Canis lupus familiaris: one gene and its partners. The protein of the gene in region 2 binds, or shares a complex with, the protein of the main gene of each other region. Links are inferred from orthologs where the notes say so. Each region holds a gene or a part of one and is shown on either strand. Other genes may lie near its edges.

Evidence for each region.
Region 1: the proteins of DDN (region 2) and MAGI2 are in contact, whole or in part, in a crystal structure (PDB 6KKG), measured with the Mus musculus proteins. The link is inferred for Canis lupus familiaris from reciprocal best matches to the Homo sapiens genes DDN and MAGI2. Residues at the interface, in NP_001013763.1 of Mus musculus: Asp222, Arg223, Pro224, Pro225, Pro226, Tyr227, Val228, Ala229, Pro230, Pro231, Ser232, Tyr233, His237, Arg238, Thr239, Leu240, Gly241; in NP_001164217.1 of Mus musculus: Glu308, Met309, Ala310, Tyr311, Thr312, Glu313, Gly315, Tyr318, Ile320, Asp321, His322, Lys325, Thr326, Thr327, Ser328, Trp329, Asp358, Tyr361, Tyr364, Val366, Asp367, His368, Arg371, Arg372, Thr373, Gln374, Phe375.
Region 3: the proteins of DDN (region 2) and WWC1 are in contact, whole or in part, in a crystal structure (PDB 6J69), measured with the Mus musculus proteins. The link is inferred for Canis lupus familiaris from reciprocal best matches to the Homo sapiens genes DDN and WWC1. Residues at the interface, in NP_001013763.1 of Mus musculus: Tyr227, Val228, Ala229, Pro230, Pro231, Ser232, Tyr233, His237, Arg238, Thr239; in NP_740749.1 of Mus musculus: Glu13, Glu14, Ala15, Arg16, Asp17, Tyr23, Ile25, Asp26, His27, Arg30, Thr31, Thr32, Ser33, Trp34.

The regions. Positions count from the first base shown.
Region 1 is NC_049239.1:18,485,988-18,491,797, forward strand, and holds part of MAGI2 (membrane-associated guanylate kinase, WW and PDZ domain-containing protein 2), read right to left. Parts: intron 1,508-5,810; coding exon 869-1,507; intron 1-868. UniProt on the Homo sapiens protein: Seems to act as a scaffold molecule at synaptic junctions by assembling neurotransmitter receptors and cell adhesion proteins. Plays a role in nerve growth factor (NGF)-induced recruitment of RAPGEF2 to late endosomes and neurite outgrowth.
Region 2 is NC_049248.1:41,074,190-41,080,746, forward strand, and holds the start of DDN (dendrin), read right to left. Parts: upstream 3,904-6,557; 5' UTR 3,859-3,903; intron 3,853-3,858; exon of another isoform or gene 3,047-3,852; 5' UTR 2,849-3,046; intron 2,166-2,848; exon of another isoform or gene 2,150-2,165; coding exon of another isoform or gene 1,941-2,149; 5' UTR 1,741-1,940; coding exon 1-1,740. Other genes in the region: PRKAG1 (5'-AMP-activated protein kinase subunit gamma-1), read right to left, coding at 5,684-5,788, 5,929-6,075, 6,301-6,338, 6,496-6,557. UniProt on the Homo sapiens protein: Promotes apoptosis of kidney glomerular podocytes. Podocytes are highly specialized cells essential to the ultrafiltration of blood, resulting in the extraction of urine and the retention of protein.
Region 3 is NC_049225.1:44,319,292-44,325,700, forward strand, and holds the start of WWC1 (protein KIBRA), read right to left. Parts: upstream 4,342-6,409; 5' UTR 4,280-4,341; coding exon 4,161-4,279; intron 1-4,160. UniProt on the Homo sapiens protein: Regulator of the Hippo signaling pathway, also known as the Salvador-Warts-Hippo (SWH) pathway.

The DNA of each region.
Region 1 (5,810 bases), on a different chromosome or scaffold from region 2:
CTAGTGTCACTGATAGTTAAGAGCAGAGTAGCACAGAAATGAAGGAGGGGTTTTCCGCTTGCCCCATTCACTTCCCCAGAAGGTAGGAGGGAAGAAACACCCAGGGCTCAGATTACTAACACACTCCTCACTGCTCCGATGTCCATGGTTCACCAAGGACACCCCGCTTAACTTCAGCCCCAAACTGTTCCGTAATTTTCTGCTCAAATCATGGAAGTCACCAAGAGTAATTATTGCTGGTAGTGGAAGAAGTGTCCTCAGCATCCCAATTCACAACTCTACGTAAAGATTTTTCTGCGGCAACCAGTTCCTCAAGGTCCTTAGGGGGATTATCAAGATTATATTTGCAAGTTCAAATATAATCAAATATAATCTTGATAATCCCCCTAAGGACCTTGAGGAACTGGTTGCCGCAGAAAAAGGGCTGAACCAGCTCCCACCTGCTAGCCTGGAGTTCCAAGCACAACACAAAGCATTGATTCGATTGGAAGAATCAGATTTCTTAATTAAGTCAATGGAAAACCAGTTTGAGATCTCTACGACCGGTATACGTTAGTGAACTTTTAGAATATAACCCACTCACATTTAGGGATTCAGGTGTTACCCTCCAAGTTCATACTAAGATAAATGTGTAAGACAGCACCACTTTTCTTGTGTTTAATAAAAGATAGGAAAATACATACTTTCAAAATTAAAAAAAAAACCACGGTTTTCTGGACTCTTGCATTTTTCTCTCTTATTCATTGACCTTTATTTTTTAAAGTATGATTTCATTCAACTCCAGGGAAACTTCTATTTTTATGATATTATTGTAAGGGTCTTACTATTTTACCTGTATATTTTATTGCTGAGTCAGTGTTTATCTTACCTCCTCGATGGATAATCAAAGAAGTCTCACTTCCAATGGGACAGTCCTTAAGTATATCCACTACTTCTGTATGGCTCAGGTTCTGTACATTCTGCTGGTTGATCTCAACAATGAGGTCACCTTCACACAGGCCAGGGCATCCCTGAACGTCAAGTATTTGTTTCACCCGCTGTCCTGTAGGACTGTCGGCAATAGTGAAGCCAAAGCCCTGGGCACCTTTCACAATGGTTAAGGTCATAAGTTCAGCTTGGGTGGCCCCAGATGAAGCCATAGACACATTGTCGTCATGGACAGGTGGTGGATACGTGCCATCTAATTGACCATCAGCTGGCATTGAGTGCAAAGAATGAGGCGGTCGATCTGTTATATCCGGAACCGACTGTGAGGTCCGAGAAATGTATTCCAAATATGTTTCATAGTTATGTCTTCCATTGACCATCACCGGAGGTGGCCTCTCCATTATTGCAAGGGGTGGCACCATGCTGTTAGCAGGATCCTCAGGATCAAAGGGCAAAGGGTAGCCACGACACAACACCAGGTTGACACTCTGACCAATAGGAACAGACTGGAAAAGTTTGACTACATCTGCATGAGTGTGTCCAAGGACACAAACTTCATTAATATAGACAATGACATCACCTGCAAGGAAAAAAGAAAGAGATTGACAACATGAGGTAAGTTCAATTAAAGTTGACATAGAGAAATGGAATTATTTATGAGACTAGTATAAGAGGCACTCAGTTTCTCAGTAAGCAGTGAGAAAATCAATTAGAATAATATTTAAATTCGCTGTAGGTGACTCAAGGTTACAACAGGTCTGCCAACAAATACAACGATCAAATGATGAAAAAAATGCTATGTACTCATTCTTGGAAGTCAGAAGCATCTTTGTGTTCAAAAAGAAAGGCTCAGGAAGGAAAGTCTAGAAGAATTTGTACCTTGAGGAAGCATATATTCTATGCTTCTTTTTCATCTTCATTTCCATCTTCAGTGCAATTCAGTCAATAGAATTTTCAAACTATTGAGAAGTGGTGGTCATAAGTCTTGGGTGAAAATTTAGAAAGCCCTGGTATACTTTTTTTTTTTGTATAGCTTGACTGAGTCAACTGCTATTTTTCTTTTTTATGGAAGAGGAAAATATTTTGCCCACTTATTTTCTCCATCTACGGCAAGATGTAATTACAAAGTTTCTGTGTATACACAAGCAAAGGCCAAGAGCACAGATTCTGGGATCAGGATCTGAGTCCATATCTTGGCTCTACCTACTACTTAACAGATATGTGATTTGGGCAAATGACTTACCTGCTTTGAGTCACAGTTCCTCATTTGTAAAGCTGTTGTGAGGATGAAATAAAATAATATAGGAAAAGTGTTTGGCATAGTGCCTGAAACACGGTAAGTGTCCAATATTTGTGGACCACTATTAGTATTACTATTGCTAAAATAGGATGGAGGGGATTTGGGACCCTGGCTTTCAAATAGGAGGCTGCCATAGACTCATTCTCTGATTGTAGATTAATTAATATTTCTGTAGATCATTTAAAAAAGGCATTTGTCCTCTCTCCCCAATGAATTATCATAGAGTTATAGAAGTCCACTGGTTAGAAGTTGACTTTATAATATTAAAAATGCCCTAAATGTTAATTATTCATTATAAAATAAAAACTCTGAAAAACATTATTTTCTTTTTAAGATGCAGGAAAACATGCTTGTTTGAGACAATTGTTTAAAAATTTCAATTATCTATGAATAACAGTTTTATTTTTAGAGAACGGTTATATTATGGATCAATATTTTTATTCTCAAAAACCATAATATTTGAAAATTGAACTTGCAAACTGAGATTGTGCCTGACTACTCTGGGGAGTATATGAGGGAAAGACATGTTTTCACAGACTGTCAAATAAGTAACTCAACAGACATTAATTAATCAGCATAATTCTGAAATGGGTAGTGTACATGGCTAGGGATCTCATTCTGAGACATCCTTGCCCATAAAATTGCAAACATCAAAAATGCAAAAACAGAGTTGAACTTTCAGAGTTAAATACGTTTCTAGCTTTTCTTAGGTGTCTGATATAAAATGATCACTCCACTGTATGCATCTAAAATAAATAATTCTATGAATAAAACATTCTTGAGTAAGATACTCTCAACAACACGGACTGGTTAACACTCACTCTGCCCAAATGCTAGAGACCTGCTTGAAAGTGCTAAAGATGTAAAGACAGAATAAGCCAAACAAACATTTTCTGGGATCCAGGTTAAGTGTGATTCTAAGAAATGTCATAGACTCTGATTGGTTGGATGGAACTTCACACTTCAGTTATGTGTATCAGAAAGGGTGCTGGTGTAATGCAGGGATTTTGGAGCAGGAGTTAGGGCTGAGTTGGGATGAGCATCCTTTCTTTGCTACTATGATTCATCATTAGACCAGGGCAAATGGAGACTCTTTCGAGTTATAGAAGTCCACTGGTTAGAAGTTGACTTTATAATATTAAAAATGCCCTGAATGTTAATTATTCATTATAAAATAAAAACTCTGAAAAACAATATTTTTTTTGGCATTATTTTCAACTGGTCTGGTCACCTGAGAGTCCCAGAGAAGCATCTGATTCAGACAAACTTTTTTCCTTCTCTTCTTGCCTCTTCTATTTCTAAAGTTATGATAATCTATTTTACACATTACAAGGTTGAAAGAATAATAAATACTGTGTACCAGTGTCCAACTCAATGATGAGAACATTACACATACTGGTTGTGTTTCTTCAGGTAGCACCTCCCTCCTACTGACCTCTCCAAAGGTAATCACTACCCTACATTATTCACATGCACTTTACATTTTTATGACATATCCAGGTACCTTTAAATAATGTCCCCAAATAACACTTAATCCCTAAATAATAATATCCCCCCAAATATGGTTTTGCACATTTAAAAATCATTATAATCATTGTCCCTGTGTACTTATGGTAGAGCTTTTCTGAAGTGTGGACCTTGGCATAGAATTTCTGGGCATAGACCACAGGCTTCTTCAGCTTTGTTATGCAATGGCCAATGGCTGACAAAATAGGTCAAATCGAATTACATCCCCATTTCTAGTATATCAGGATTTTCATTGCTTCCTATCTGATACAATACTAGGCATTCTCAGACTTAATTTTCATGGATCTAATGGGTGTGATCATGGTTTTAATTTGCATTTCCCAGATTGCTAGTGAGGGTGAGCATGTTTTCATATGTTTATTGGCCATTTGGGTTTCCTCTTTAGTATGTCTCATTTTCCCATTTTTTCCTATTTTGTTAGTCCTTTATATTTTGTAAACACATTGACTGCTTCTCTGCCCACCTCCATTCTTGATCCAACATCTTTGGTAGGCTTGGGAGGCTGCATGGTATAGCCGACGTTATGCGGGATAGGGATAATGTGTCAGAAGACTTTGGTTTGATTTCCAGCTCTATCACTTCCTAGCTGTGTGACTTTCAAAGCTAACTTTAATCTTCTGTGACTCAGATTCTTCACAAGTAACAAGGAACAAAAATAATAGCAACTTATTGCTCTATGGGAAATAAATGAGATCATGCAGGTGACAGGGTTTATAAGCTGCAAATTGTTATGCAAAGGATGATTGCTATTTCAGTAATTATCTGTCCTTGGTTATACCTTTTATAAAATCAGGACAGTCCCACCAAGATATTCCCACCACAATCATAATCAAGGCTGAATATGGGTTTCTGAGTGGGCAGATTAAAGACAGGAAGGTAACAAATGCCATTTTCTCCTAAGGCATTCCCTAACTTTAATCACTGTTAACGAACTTCCCCCAACCCCCAAGCACGCTATGCCAGAAATTCATAGGAAAAAAGAACTAAGCTCTCAAGGTTCCCTGCCAGGTCTAGAGAGTAGTTATTTGAATTATAGTGATTAATGTTATCTATTTTTGAGTTTTAATGTGATCTTGCTATTTAGAAACAGAATGAGAACTATTTGTGGTTCTTGGTAAGACTGCCTTTTAAAATTTATGGATATTTTCTACTCAGAGCAATTTTTCAAGTCATCAAGCAAGCAGTGATACAGTGCTATCTTTATGGAGCTACGCAGAAGCTTTCTGAATGAAAAGATGAGTGGTCAGTTATCACAGGATAAAACTAACAACTTGACGGTACTCAACTGCTCACTCTAAAAAATGTATAGAGATGCCTAGACATTGTGACATGCCAAATTGTTGTAGATGGATTTGTAAGCAAACATTTGCCTGTTCAGATAGAACTAATTGGGTAGGATATTTATTGACTGTGCTGCATGAATGTCATTTACATGTTGTGAAATAAAAATATGAGCCACCTGGTCCATGCCATCCAACAGTGCCATGCCAAGTCCTGGGATAGACTGGATTCAGAGCACAGAAAGAGATGTCATTAGGAAAACTGGCTCTAGTTCAAGCCCTGCTGGCCTATTTAAGGGGGAGAATTGGGAAGAGAGTGACTTGCTCTTTCCCTCTCTCAATTTATTCTTTTATAAAATGGGAATTAAAATATCTCCTCCATTTCCTCTTTCACATGGCTACTGTGAGAATGAGATCATGCTTGTGAAAACACTTTTAATTTTACCAAGGAAAGGTTCTCCATAAAAATAAAATGCTGCATTTCTTTCAGAAGCCAAGTACATATTTTCATTGCCATCTTGCCTGTAAGGTACATTGGGGCCAGATGTTTTAGGGCTATTGACCTTGGGCCAATGGGTCAAATTTGGTGTGACTGATGAGCTTGATGTCTCCAACAGGGCTGGTCTCATAAAGACCTGATTCTCAATCAAGAGCTTTTAAAGTGCAAGTGAAGGAGAGCCAGTCTGATCAAGCAGAAGTTGAAAACTGCTGGTCTGTATGAACACGTGTTCCAAGATAACTGGTCTCTCAGTCATGGGAATCAAAAGACACGACAG
Region 2 (6,557 bases):
GCCTCCCGAAGCCGCCGGGCCCAGGGCCGAGCGCTCCGGGCTACCGGGCTGCGCGGGGGCGTCCCGGAGGTTTACTTCGCCCACCGGGAGCCCCAAGATGCGGGAGGCGCGCTCCTCCAAGGAGGAGTCCGCCGGCTTCCCGCCCTCGGCTTCGAACCCGCGCCCCCCACCGAGCTGGTGTGACGGGCGACTGCTCGGGAGCAGTTTTTGGCAAGGCGAGGGCAGGGCCGCGGCTCCCTCGCCCTCCTCCTGGCTGGGCCCCGGAGGACTGGGGGCATCCCCCGCGGCGCGCGGCACCCCGGCGGGCAAGAGCTGTACGTGCTGGGTTCGAGGGGTCGGAACATACTGCGACCGGATCACCACGCACGTGGCGTCAATGACAAAGACGCCTTCTCCGCGCGCAGGGCCGCGGGCGCTGCGGGGCAGGGTGTGGGCGCGGCGGGTCCCCTTCCCACCCTCTGAGGGTCCTGCCCCCGCTCTGAGACCCGGGGATTCGCTCCAGCCCGTGCCTCCTGGAGCCCAGGGTCTGGGGAGGGTCTGGCTCTGTCGGGGCGGCTGCCTTTTACGGGAGGGAACCCAGCATTTGGGGAGCCAGCTCTGTTCCCTGTTTTCTTTCCCTTCCTCGGAGCCCTTGAGCCGGGGCCTGGCCCTGGGGGCGGGCCGCGGGGGGCTGCGCGCGGCGGGGGCCGACCCCGCGGGAGCCGTCTGGGCGCTCGGGCTCCCGGCAGCTCTGGCTTGGGGACGGCCGTCGCTCCCAGCACTCAGGCCAGCGGCCGCCGGCCCCAGGCTTCTCTCGGCGGCGCCCTTGCCGGCCTCCGGCCTCGGCGCGGCCGTTCCACAGCCCGGGGATCCCCCCAGGAGACCCCGCCCCTGCCGGAGCCCCCAAGCCCCGAGGACGTCCCGGTAGATCCGAGGGTCCAGCCTCTTCTTGGCGCACCCTCCCTCTGTCCTGGCCGGAGTCGGAGCAGAGGCGGCGGGGGCCGGCGCCTGGGGGGGCTCGGGGCCTCGCTTGGACCCCAAGGTCCTGTGGGGGCCTTCGTAAGAAGGTGGAGCCACGTAGGGTGGCGGGCGGTCCCAGCGTCGTCGCAGGGCTGTCCCGGCTGCGCCTCTCAGCAGCAGGTGAGCCTCGTAGCTGGGGGGCCCTGGCCGCCTACCTCCCCAGGGCCCCGCCCACGCCGCCCCTGGGTCGCTCTGCGGCTGCGCGGATGGACGGGGCGGTCGCCCCGCCGGCCCCAGGCGCTCGGGTCGAGAAGGAGCTGGGGGCCCTACTGGCTGGGCCACCCGAGGGCCGCTCCGAGGTTCCGGGCGGGGCCGACCGGGGGGGCTCCTTCGGGCCCCACCAGCCTTGCGCCTTTTTCGCTCGGTCTCCTTGGCCTCCCGCTCCTGCGACGCTGCTTTCCTTTTCTCTTGCTCCCGGGCTCGGGCCTCGGCCGGGGGCCCCGCCCGCCAGTTGGTCGCCTCCTGCAGCACCCTGGAGGCCCAGGGACGGCGGGGCGGCGGCTCAGGGGATCCCGGGCGCGGCCCACACCTGGGACAATGAGCAGGAACCCAGGTGAGCAGTTTGTGGGGGAAGGGAGCCGAGGTCCGGGGAGCTGGGAGCACTGGAGGCCATTTGGGGCAGCCATGTGGAGGGGTGTGTGTGAGTGTGTGCGTGTGTGCACGTGCGTATATGTTAGGGCTGAAGTCGAAGCCGGACTCCGCGCCATCTCTCCATGCACACTTTAACAGCGTCTGCCCCATCTCACCTCCTGCCCTTTCTCACACCCACTCCTGCCCCCCCAAACAATGCGGGGAAGAGTCAGGCCCCAGCCCTCGGGATGGGGTAGGGGGAGGCGTGGGAAAGAGAACGGGGTCCAGCAGCACTGGCTGGTGCCTGCGGGGAGGTCCGGACCCCACTCCCCGCCCCACCACTCTCTTCCCGTCACCCCTCCTTCACTCACGTGCGGCTCTGGGGCCCGCGGGCCCAGTGGCTGGCTTGGAAGTCCATGGGCTGTCGAGGAGGGGCGCGGCGACTATAATGACAGGAAATAGTCTTCACTTCGATCACCAGCAGCTTGGATTTCTGCACCCAGAGGCAGCTGCCAGACTCCTCATCCTGGGGCTCCCGGGGGCTGTCGGGCCCCTCGGAGAATAGCTGGCCATCCAGCATCCTGCCCCACCCCACCCCGGCCCCCCACCCTCCCACCCGCCCCGAGAGCCCCCTCCCAGCCCGAGGAGCCGGCGCCCACTGCAGAGCGACGGGCCCAGAGACTGGGGACTATATATACCCCGGCACACGTGTGTGCCTGTCTGTGTGTGTGTGCGCGCGCATGTGACACGGTGCGGCGCGGACGGCACCGCGCTGCTACCTCCCCCATGTGCACGGCCGCCCCCTGGGGCCCGGGATTGGGCGCCCCTTCCCACCGCTCATGGCCCCCAAGCCTGTTGGGACCTGCGCCAGTGGGCAGGGGACCTCTTATTCTTGCCAAGCTGACGGTGCCCTTCCCCCACCCCCGTTGCTCCAACCTTCCTGCCGTTTTAACCCTTAGCTCTTCTGCTGGTCGGGGTGCCCCACCACCAGGGTTCTGCCACCGACTTCCTGCCTCGGACTTCAGTTTCCCCGACAGGGAGGTGAGGGGAATGGAACTCAAGGTCTCTGCCTGCCACTCTCTGCTGGTTTCCATGGGGTTGGGGTGCAGGGGGTCTATTTTTAGCGGCAGTGGCTGTTCGGGTGCAGAGAGATGAGTAACCAGCTTCCATGCGGTGGAGGGAGGAGGCGGTGGCTTTCACACAGCTTTTATGTGGCTCTGGGGGAGAGCTGCCTCCCCCAAGCTCAGAAAGGGTGACCCCCACACCCTTAACTCCTTACCCTCTCAGTGTTGCAGCCCAGCGCTGCTGGTCGGACACAGGAGTCTGTCTTGGCCATCCAAACTGTCCCACGTTCCTATGCTAGCTGTTTGTCCTTGGGCACCCATGGAGCCCTCTCCTCGCAGCAGGCTCTCTCCCGCAATCCAAAAGCCAGGATTTGGGGGTCATACTGTTCTGTGCCCACACAGCTCTGCTCAGCCTTATGGAGGACAGACTAAGGTACTTATGCATTTGCACCCTTTCAGAAGGGATGGAGGAGGAATGGTGTGTTCCCTTGGCAAAACCAGTCCCCTAGCAACTGAAATGCTAAAAGTGGCCCCGATTTCCCAGTGTGGAGCTCCCCATCACCACCACTACAACAATGCCTAGCTCACTTAGCCCCCCCAACCTGAAGTGGTGCTCAAGATGCTCACCTTTTACGCTCATTCTGTCCCAGGGGCAGGGGGTGTTGCTTACATCCACGTGATCCCTCCCCCCCAAGCCTATACCAGGTGTCCCCTGATTCACCATGGTAATGTTAGTGGCAGCACAGCCCACGCCAACCCTTCCATGCAGAGACTTAGCAACCATGCCTGGCAACCATGGCAGCAGCTCCAGTGGAGGGGAGGGGTGCAGAGAGGTGGGAGAAGAGTGTGTATGGCAATGGTTCCTGAAGAAAAGGGATAATTTGCCTCTTCTGAGAGGAATAGGTAAGAATAGGCTATGAGGCTCCTTAATTTTGTTCCTTGTCTTTCCTTCTGCTCCATTCTCAGATTCTGAGACTGACTGATTAGGTTTTAGGGGAGAATGGGAGAGGCAAAAGATCATGCAGCCCTTTGGGTACAGGCCCTTCCTTTTAAGAAGGTGGGGCCAGAAGGGTTGTTGTTAGTAAGAGACTGACTTAATGAGAACCAGAGCAACCAAACCCAGGCCCCCTGCTCCCTAATATGGACCTTTAGAGATTTAGAGATAACCCAAACAGCCCCTACTCCATCCATTTGATAACCCCCCTCCCCCGCTTTACACACCTACCAGCTGCACTCTGGTGGCTCTTTGCTTGAAGGTGCTTCCTTCTACCCAGGTCCCACCAGAGTCCTAGGGCTTTTTAAAGCCCTTGCCTCCTCCCTAGACAAATTCTCCATGATGGAATGTGACATAAGGAGACATCTGTCCTTTCCACCATGCATTCACCCCCACACACATAAACATACCCTAATTCTATTAACTTGGAAGCCTCCCTCCCCCAAGTCTGAGAACGTGCTGTGAGCTGTGGAGAGGTGAATGCAGAAGCAAGGGCTTTCTCCAAAGTCAGGATGGCAGCCCTGACAGCTGCCTTGAAATGTTTCTCCATGCGCCATGAGGAAGCCTACTTTGGAGGAACCGGTATGGTAGGGCAGGGTTCACCAGAGTACTTGGTATAGTGTGGGGAGGGGCAAGGAGGTACTCTGACATTGCTTCTGGTCTTGGACAGGAAATGATATTAAACCTGCAAGTCAGTGGTGAAATGGTACCCAAAATTTGGCTCAGGCCCGACAGTCTAGCGGTCCTTATGGTGTTTGGTGTTGACCTGTTTTGGCTTATTTGGTTTCAGCACAGGTAGAGTCTGTTTCCTCAGCCCCCAGCTCATTCTCACCTTGGAAGAATGGTGAGCCATTTTGTAGGTTCAAAGACAGTGCCGGCTCAGCAAAATTCAGAGTCAAACCTTCCCTGATGAAGAAAAGCTGATGGCCGTAGCATGTCTCTCTGCCTAAAGGAGACCCTCAGTCTCTCTATTCTCTGGAGACCTAATGCTGTTAGGAGATTCTCCTGGGGTCCCAGCTACGGTTCAGGCAGAGGGGAAAGTGAGTAATAAAGAGAACAGCAGGGAACAGGGTAGGAAACAGTCATGAATGGAGAAATGGAAAGGCAGTAAGTCTAGTGTTAGTGGTAAAGAGCAGGAGTCTGGGGCCAGACTCTGGGCACAAATCCTAGCTCTACATTTTACTAGCTGTGTGATGTTGGGCTGGTTACTTAGCCTCTCTGTCCCTTAGTTTTGTTTTGTTTTTTAATCTGTAAAACTGGAATCATATCTACTATGGTTCTGAGAACTAATTAATATGCATAAAGCACCGGGAATGGTGCCTGACACAGTTTTACATATATGTGTGGGTAAATGTATGTGCCACTATTCCTGTTGTTGTTAGTAGTGAGTTGAAGAAGCCATAGGAAGTAGGACGGTTGGAGCAATAGTGTCTGTCAACTACAAGAATCAAACACTGCAATACCATGAAGAGGTTCCTGTCATTTTAATTAGGTTTGCCATGAAAAGCAATAACCTCAGCTAATCACTCTGCCCTCCTCCTCCACCTAACCCCCATCTGCCTTCATATGCACACAGCACAAGAATCCAAAGGCCCTCCTCCCCACAATCCTCCCCACTCCCATTATGGGAAGAAATGTCACTAAATGGACTCAGCCTCCTCCGTACAGCATGAAACAGGATGAATAAAAATATCTTTAGGAAGAGTTTTGTTGTGCTGTTATCTTAGGGTGGAGTCAGGGGCAGAGATAGAGGCAAAGGCTGGGTGAGGTCTGGGGATCTCTTAGAGATCAGAATTTGCCTGAGGGGCACACGGCCCATCATTCACCCAGAAAGGGGGCTACGTCTAAGATGGCAGGGGCTAGGCTGGGCTAGGCTGTATGTGTGAGGATAAGGACTGCTAAAAATCCATTCTCCTTCCTCCCCCCACACCCTCCCCAGCTCCCAAGCGGGGAACAGAGTCACAATTTTCTCAAGGGTTCATCTGTGATTCCTAGAACTTTGGTCAGGCAATGAGTGGGGGCATATCCCCTTGTGCTGCCTGACCCCTTCCCCAGCTCAGAGCTTCTCTCCTCCTGTGAGCACCAGGGCCTGCAGGATGTCAGACAGTGATACAATCCCCTTGACCACATCATTCTCATCTACCACTACAAGTCGGTGAACCTGTGTGGAGCAACAAGGGAGAAAAGGGATGTTTAGTGACGCCCTCAGTTAGGAGGAGTCCTTCAACCCCCACCCTCCGTGCCAAATCCCACACTCAAAGCTGCTCTCCCTAGCTCCTTCTGGGTCACTGGCCTCCCTACCTCTGCTTCCACCAGCCTGTTGATGATGGTCTCCAGAGTCTCATGCAGGTAGCACTTAAGGACACCCTCAAAGTAATGTGATCTATGTTGCAGGGCTTTGGTCACAGACACATCTAGGTTGTTGTAGGTCTTTTCTGCTGCCAGATTCTGGGGAGAGAGAGGAAGGTGCTTGCAGGGAAGCAAAGGAGCCAGCCCCCAAACCCTGAGCCCACCCAGTTGCACCAGAGGGATTTAGGGCAGTTGTTAGCCATGCCCACAAGCCACACCCAACTCGTTCAATTCCTTTTCCAATTAGAAGAGACTCTCTTCTCCCTCTCCACATTCAACAGCCCGCCCCTTTCCCTCCCTCCCAGGCCCTCCGCAATCACTCACGATAACATCAAACTTGGAGTAGATGTCCACCACGCGCCCTAGGGGGGCAGAGGCAGCTCAGCAAGGAGGGTCTGGCATCAGAGGCTCCCCTTGCCTGTAGCATCGCCCTCCAGGCTGAGCTGAGGGACAGCAGATTTTCCCAGAACCACCCTGGCTTCCCTGGAGCCCTCCCTCTCTTTCTGTGCAATCTCTCACCTTTCTCGTCTACTACTGGTAGTGCTGAGACTCGGTGTTGTACAAAGATGCCCAGAGCCACG
Region 3 (6,409 bases), on a different chromosome or scaffold from region 2:
CAAATGTTCCTCAAATCATGAGAGAAGTCGCTGAGTCCTCTCAAAGTGGCCTCTTAGCCACCGGGCCTCCAGTACTTATCACAGAGCCCCCAGAAACTGTGCCCACAGAATTCCCAGGTGGTTCCTGGAAGAAGGTCTGAACATACACCACAGAATGAGCAGGAATTAGGCTTCAGGAACCTTCTCTGGCAGGGCCAATTCAAACAATCCATTCTTCCTTGGAGAACAATCAGCATATTTGTTTTTGCATACCACTAAGTTAAATACACAAGGAATGCTGACCCTTTGCTGGGAGTTCCCAGAAGCACCCAGACTTACTCTGCTAAAGAAACACTGCTCCTAGGGGCTGCAGAGGCCAGAGCACCTGAGTCCCCACAGACCCGGCCCCTTCCCAGGCCAGCCATGCCTCAGGAGGCTGCGGTGTTGTTGGAGCCTTTGGCCCAGTAGGCAGGGCCCAAGCTGCCCACTGGACCCTCTCTGGTTGTTGGGACAACCGTTCTCAGGAATTTCGGCCTCCCAGTCTTGCCCTGGGTGAGAAGGGAAGAGAGTTGGCAAGGCTGGCTGCCTGGCTGCTCTTCCAACCCGCTGGTGAAAGGGGAAGCGGAAAACTGGATTCCCTACACCCAGCAGCCTCCATGCCGGACAGCACACAAAACAGCTCAGCCCCAGAGGGAGGAATGTGCCAAGACATTCTTCAGGGTTGGTAACCCGAGACGCTATTTTGTTCTTCGTGGCTAAGAAATCACTTTTCTGACTGAGGGACCGTTTGACTTACTTCTTTTAAATTCAAGGGAATGGGTGGGCATCGCCTTGATTCAGGTAAGAAAAAAGCCAAGACAAATGTAAACACACACGCACACCCTTAAAGAGTAGAAATTCTTTTTTTTTTTTTTTTTTAATGTCATCTTTTGTTTCACAGCATTAATGAAATGGGTTGCAGAGATGTAACTACCTTGGCAGAATTTATCTCCCCCACACCACCACCCCAAAGTTGTCTGGCTCTTTTTCGCTTTAATTTTTTTTCTTCTTCCTTGCTACAGTCCCCTCTCTCCTTCTGCCATGGAGTCAGGAGGGGTAAGACAAGGCCAAGGGGTCTGAAATCACATCTGAGACCTGGCAGGGTTCTGCGAACATCTTCTCACCAATGGAGAACTCATTTGTAGAGAGGTCAAGCAATTTATCCAAGACCATCTTCATATCCATGAAGATATTCAAATAAGTCACACCTCTGGACCTCAAATTTTCTCTTATGTTTGAAAATAAGAGCTGGGCTCTGATCATCTATGTCCCTTCCAACTTTCAGGAGAGAAATTCCAGAGAGCCATGGGTGGATGCCCTCTGCTTAGCTTTCTCCCCAAATTTTCAGTTGGCCTACCATAACAGTGACCCCAGGGTTGCACTTGGAACACCTCAGCATCCCAAACTCCGGGGTCCCCCACCAATCCAGTATGGGAGGGATGACCAGAAGGTACAAAGATGCATTAAAACCAATTATTTGCAAGGTGAAGAAAGTGAGAGGCTCAGTTAAATGCCACTATGTTCTTAATTCCTCTCCAATACTTGTCAATCTGCCTAAAAAACAAAGGCTGGGCATACCTGTTGCTGGGTATGGGCAAGCTACCGTACAGAGCTAAAATATAATGGCACTGGGTTGTTGGTTTTTTTTCCCTCCACTGTTTTTTTTTTTTTTTTTTTGAAGATCCTTTCTATTTATGACAACAGATAATACTAGTTTCCCATTTGTGAAAGTGGTTAAAAATTTTTCATACTGAGGGGCACCTGGGTGGTTCAGTCAGTTAAGCATCTGCCTTTGGCTCAGGTTATGATCCCAGGGTCCGGGGATTGAGCCGCATGGTGTGCTCCCTGCTCAAAGGGGAGCCTGCTTCTCTCTCTCCCTCTGCCCCTCTCCCCACTCATTCTCTCCCTTTCTCTTTCTCAAATAAATAAAATCTTTAAAAAAATTTTCACGTTTAGTTGATTTAAAGTCAAATATTAAGTAAGCAATGGTACAAGTCAATATAGCAGAAAATCATTATGGTGGTTCATATGGTACTAAAATTTGAAAAATAATACTCTAGCCAAGTCAATTTTCCACTTGTCCTTTTCCAGGGGTAGAAAATTACCTGTTGTTTGAGAAGCTTTCTAGAGCTGTATTCCTCTCAGAGCCCCAGAGAAGTCCCTAGATTCACAACCGAGGGTGAGTTAGCAACGCTGGGTGTGGGGCTGTCCTAGTCCTCTGACATGCAACTGCTGACAGCACACTGGCCTCAGTAAGTTGCAAGGACCAAAACCAGGCAGGAAACAGAAGACTGAACTTATGTCTCTTCTGGAAGAGAACAAGGGGCTGCCCAGTTCTCCAACACGTAACAGCGTCCCTGGGACAGATGACCCTGAGTGGGGCAGGGAAGAGAAGTGAGTCAGGACAAATCTGGAGGTTAGAACTTCAGAGATGGTAAAGAATCTGGCATATGGTGAGTGGTGGAAAGATGAAGATATTCAAGTAAGTCACACCTCTGGACCTCAAATTTTCTCTTATGTTTGAAAATAAGAGCTGGGCTCTGATCATCTATGTCCCTTCCAACTTTCAGAGTTCTACGATTACTTCTCTTCCAAACAAACCATTAATCTGACCAACGGGGAACCTGAGGCTCAGAGGTTAAAGCAGCTTGCTCATGGGATGCTTTCTCTAGCATTAAAAATTTATCTTCCAATGCCACCAGACTGACTCAGTTGGTAGAGCACCCGAATCTTGATCTCAGAGTGGTTGAGTTCAAGCCCCACAATGGGCAGAGAACTTTTCCTTTTTAAATTTCTCTTCTAAATTATATCAAAGAGGCATCCAGCGTGGTACTGAGAATAAAGCAAGCACCCAAGAAATGTTAAATGAGTGAACTTAGAGCGCTCACAGAAATTACGGGGCATCTCAATTCAAATTTTCTTTCTGCCTTTTTTTAAAACCCACACCTTGCTACACACCCCATCTTGGACTTCTGGGACCTGCATCCCAACCCTACAGGTCGAAAGATCCAAAAAATTCACCTCTATTGCGTTACAGGCACCTGACACTCAAGGTCGCACAGACCAGGTGAACATTCCACATTCCTAAGACACTGACCACAGACCAAGCCAACAAGGACAACAAAGCAATCTCAGAGGGTGGTCCTCTTCCTCCCCTTCTTCCCCCCACCCCTACATGGGGAGGGTGTGTGCAAAGAAATGACAAGCAATCAAAACCGGGAGAAAGTCTGGAAGCTCTGAGCAGTCACCTCAGACTCCACCTGCCACAGAAAAAATAAAATAGAATCCGTGCTACAGTCGCTTGGTGCCCACCAAGGTCAGGACGCGCTGGTGCAGGACTGAGGAGTCTCGGTCCCCAGAGGAAGAAAGGGTGGAGAACGAGGTGATGGGCAGGGCTTTGTGGGAGGCCTCTCACCTCCATCTATATCCTAACAGCTTCCAAGTTGCTCTAAGATTCCTGGAGAACCAGTCTTCCGATCAGCCCTCCCCCGCCCTCTTCCTTTCCTTCCCACTCCCGGCCTCCAGGCCCCCTGGCTGCTCCCGTGCTCTTCCCCGAGCCTCCCAGGCACCTGTCAAAGACCACACTCCAGGCTGCCTTCCCCTCCGCCTAGTGTCCTTCCAGCAGTTTCCCACTGAATCCTGGGTCCCTACTACCCCCTCCAAACCAGATGCTTCCCCATCTCCCCCCGGCCCCACACACACACACACTGGGGAAAGCCTCTCCGGGAAGCCCCAGAAACGCTCCGCTAGGCTGCTGCCCCAGCCCCCGCCCGACCTCGTCCTAAAGGGGGCGGGGGAGGCGGGGCTAGAGCTTAAGGTCAAAACTCTGGGCAGGTGCCGGCTGGGGCCTAAGTCCTCCATCGGGGACGGCGGCGGGGGCCGCCCGGGCCCCTGGCCGCGCCCCCCTCCAGCAGCCCACCCCGGCGGGAGCAGCGCTCCAGACGGCGGGCGATGGGGATGGGGACGTGGATGGGGACGGGGGCGGGGGGGGGGGGCGAGGGCGGCGGGGGGGCGGCCAACTGAAGAAAGCGCAAGCGGCTCGCAGAGTTCCCCGGCGGCCCCTGCCCGGTCCCCGCGGGTGGCCCCTGGGGCAAGAGGGGGCCCGGGCGGAGCGCGCGGTGTGGGGCTCCCCGGGGCCCTACCTGTCCCGCGGGTCGATCCAGCTGGTGGTGCGGCTCGTGTGGTCTATGTAGTAGACCTTGCCGTCGAAGTCGCGCGCCTCCTCCCAGCCCTCCGGCAGGGGCAGCTCCGGCCGGGGCATCTTCCCGAGCGCGGCCCGCGCTCCCCCATGCAGCTCCCGGCCGCCGCGGGGGCCCCGGCTCAGCGGCTCCGGCCGGCCGTGCCCAGCCCGGGCGGCCGCCGAGGCACCATGATGGGGGGGGAGGCTGGCGCCCGCGGACTGGGGGCCCTAGTGGGGGCCGGCCCGGGCGGCGCCGCGGTCCATGCGGCCCTGCGGCTCCGGCCCGCCGCTCCCGGGCTCCCGCGCTCCCGCCGCCGGCCTCTCACGCTGCCATGTGCGCCCGCCGCGGCGCGGTGCGGGCCCGGGGACGCGCCCGGCCGGCGGGGCAGAGCGAGCCGAGCGCCGCCGCCTGCTCCCCGCCGCCTGCTCCCCGCCGCCTGCTCCCCGCCTGCTCCCCGCCGCCTGCTCCCCGCCGCCGCCGCCGCCCCCTGGCCGGGCGCCCGAGCCCTCTCCGCCGCTCTGCGCCGCGCCGCTCTGCGCCCGCTCGGCGACTCCGGCCTCCGCCAGGTGCGGCTCGGGCCGTGCAGGTAACCGCGCTGCCCCGGAAACGGGAGGCGGAGCGCCGGGCGCCTGGGCTCCCGGGTCCCCTCCCCGCGCCCGGCGCTGCGAGGGCGGATCCTAGGACCCGAGACGCGCCCCCTCGTGGGACTGTCCGGACCGCCCGCAGCCCCGGTAGCCGGGAGGGGGCACCGCCCCTTACCTGGGCCCCGGACGCGCGCGGGGGCCCGGGTGGCCCGAGCAAGACCCGCTCGCCGCTGCTTCCCCGCGCTCCCGGCTCTCCACCTCGCGCCTAGGCTCTTGGTGCAGGTGGCCCCAAACCCTAAAACTCCCCGCTTCTCTTTTATGTAGAATCAGGAGCCAGACAAGAAGTGGTTAAATGGAAACATTCTTGCGATTCAGGGAACAGAAGTTTTCCTGGATCTCTGATCCCTTCCCCCAACACACGCACCATCTGTCTCCCTCTCCTTCCATTCTTCTCCCGGTGTGGTTTCACTGTCTCCTCTACCCTCGTAGTTGCTAATGTAGCTGGCTGTCCTCTGGGTCCCTAAAACTTGGAGTATATGCTATGAATCCCCTCCCCCCGGGGCGGCATCCAAGGGGTGCCCGGGGAAGCCTTTTGTAAAGTAACAGTAACAGGGTCTTGTGAACTGAATGGAGTCCTTAGCCCGTCCCAGGCGGGAGGCTAGCAGCGTCATGTGTGCTTCCGTCCTATGATACTTGGAGGTAGGTACGTTATGGATTTGAGGGAAGAAGAAAGCAAAGCAAAATTCCATTTTGAAAACTATTAGAAGAAATTTTAAAATCAGTATTTCTTGAGAAATTAAAGATATGTAATTAAGTATAAAAAGATGAGACCCCAGAGTTAAGGATCTACGGGCTCGTCTGTTTCCTGAATGTTAGTGTTTAACCGTTTTTGCCCTGGATATGTGGCAGGAAGCTGGCTTGGAGGAATGGAATGAAGCCCAGTGCAGTGTATCCCCTTGTCCGAGCCCCCACCGTCTCCCAGACGAGCCAGCATCCCGTGCTGTATGGGCCAGACAGAGTGTGCTGAGCAGGGGAAGGAATCCCACGTTTGCAGTCTCATCTTCTCTTAATAGATAAGACCCACCATGGCAGTTCCTTACCTCCAAATGCTGTCTGCCAAGTCAGTTACTTCCCTGAGGCCAGACCTAGGGCTCAGTGTTTGGCCCTTCCTACCCCCTACTTCATTCCATAGATGCCATGCACTGAAATCCAGAATCATGGGCCTCAGACTGGCCTGTAACACCCAAAGTAGAAGTTCCCCATCCTTTTAAGCGAGGTCCCCGCAGTCCTCTTCACCTCCTCTCCTTTGCCCAAGCTTTCACAATATAAAAACCTATTATTTATTAGAGCAATAGCTCAAAAGCGAAGCCAACATGGTGCTGAGTGCTTCACACACATGGTCTCATATAATCTCACAGCAACCCTCCGGAGTACGGCACACTTATACCCATTTTACTGATGAGAAAACTGATGTTCTAAGATGCTATATTATTGGCCAGGGATATAGAACTAATAAGTAGGCTCAGGTCTGTTTGACTCCAGCACTTAACGTATACATTTTTTTTTTTTAAATTATGCTTCCATTCGTGGACCTACCCATGGTCTGGACCTGGAATATTATGGATG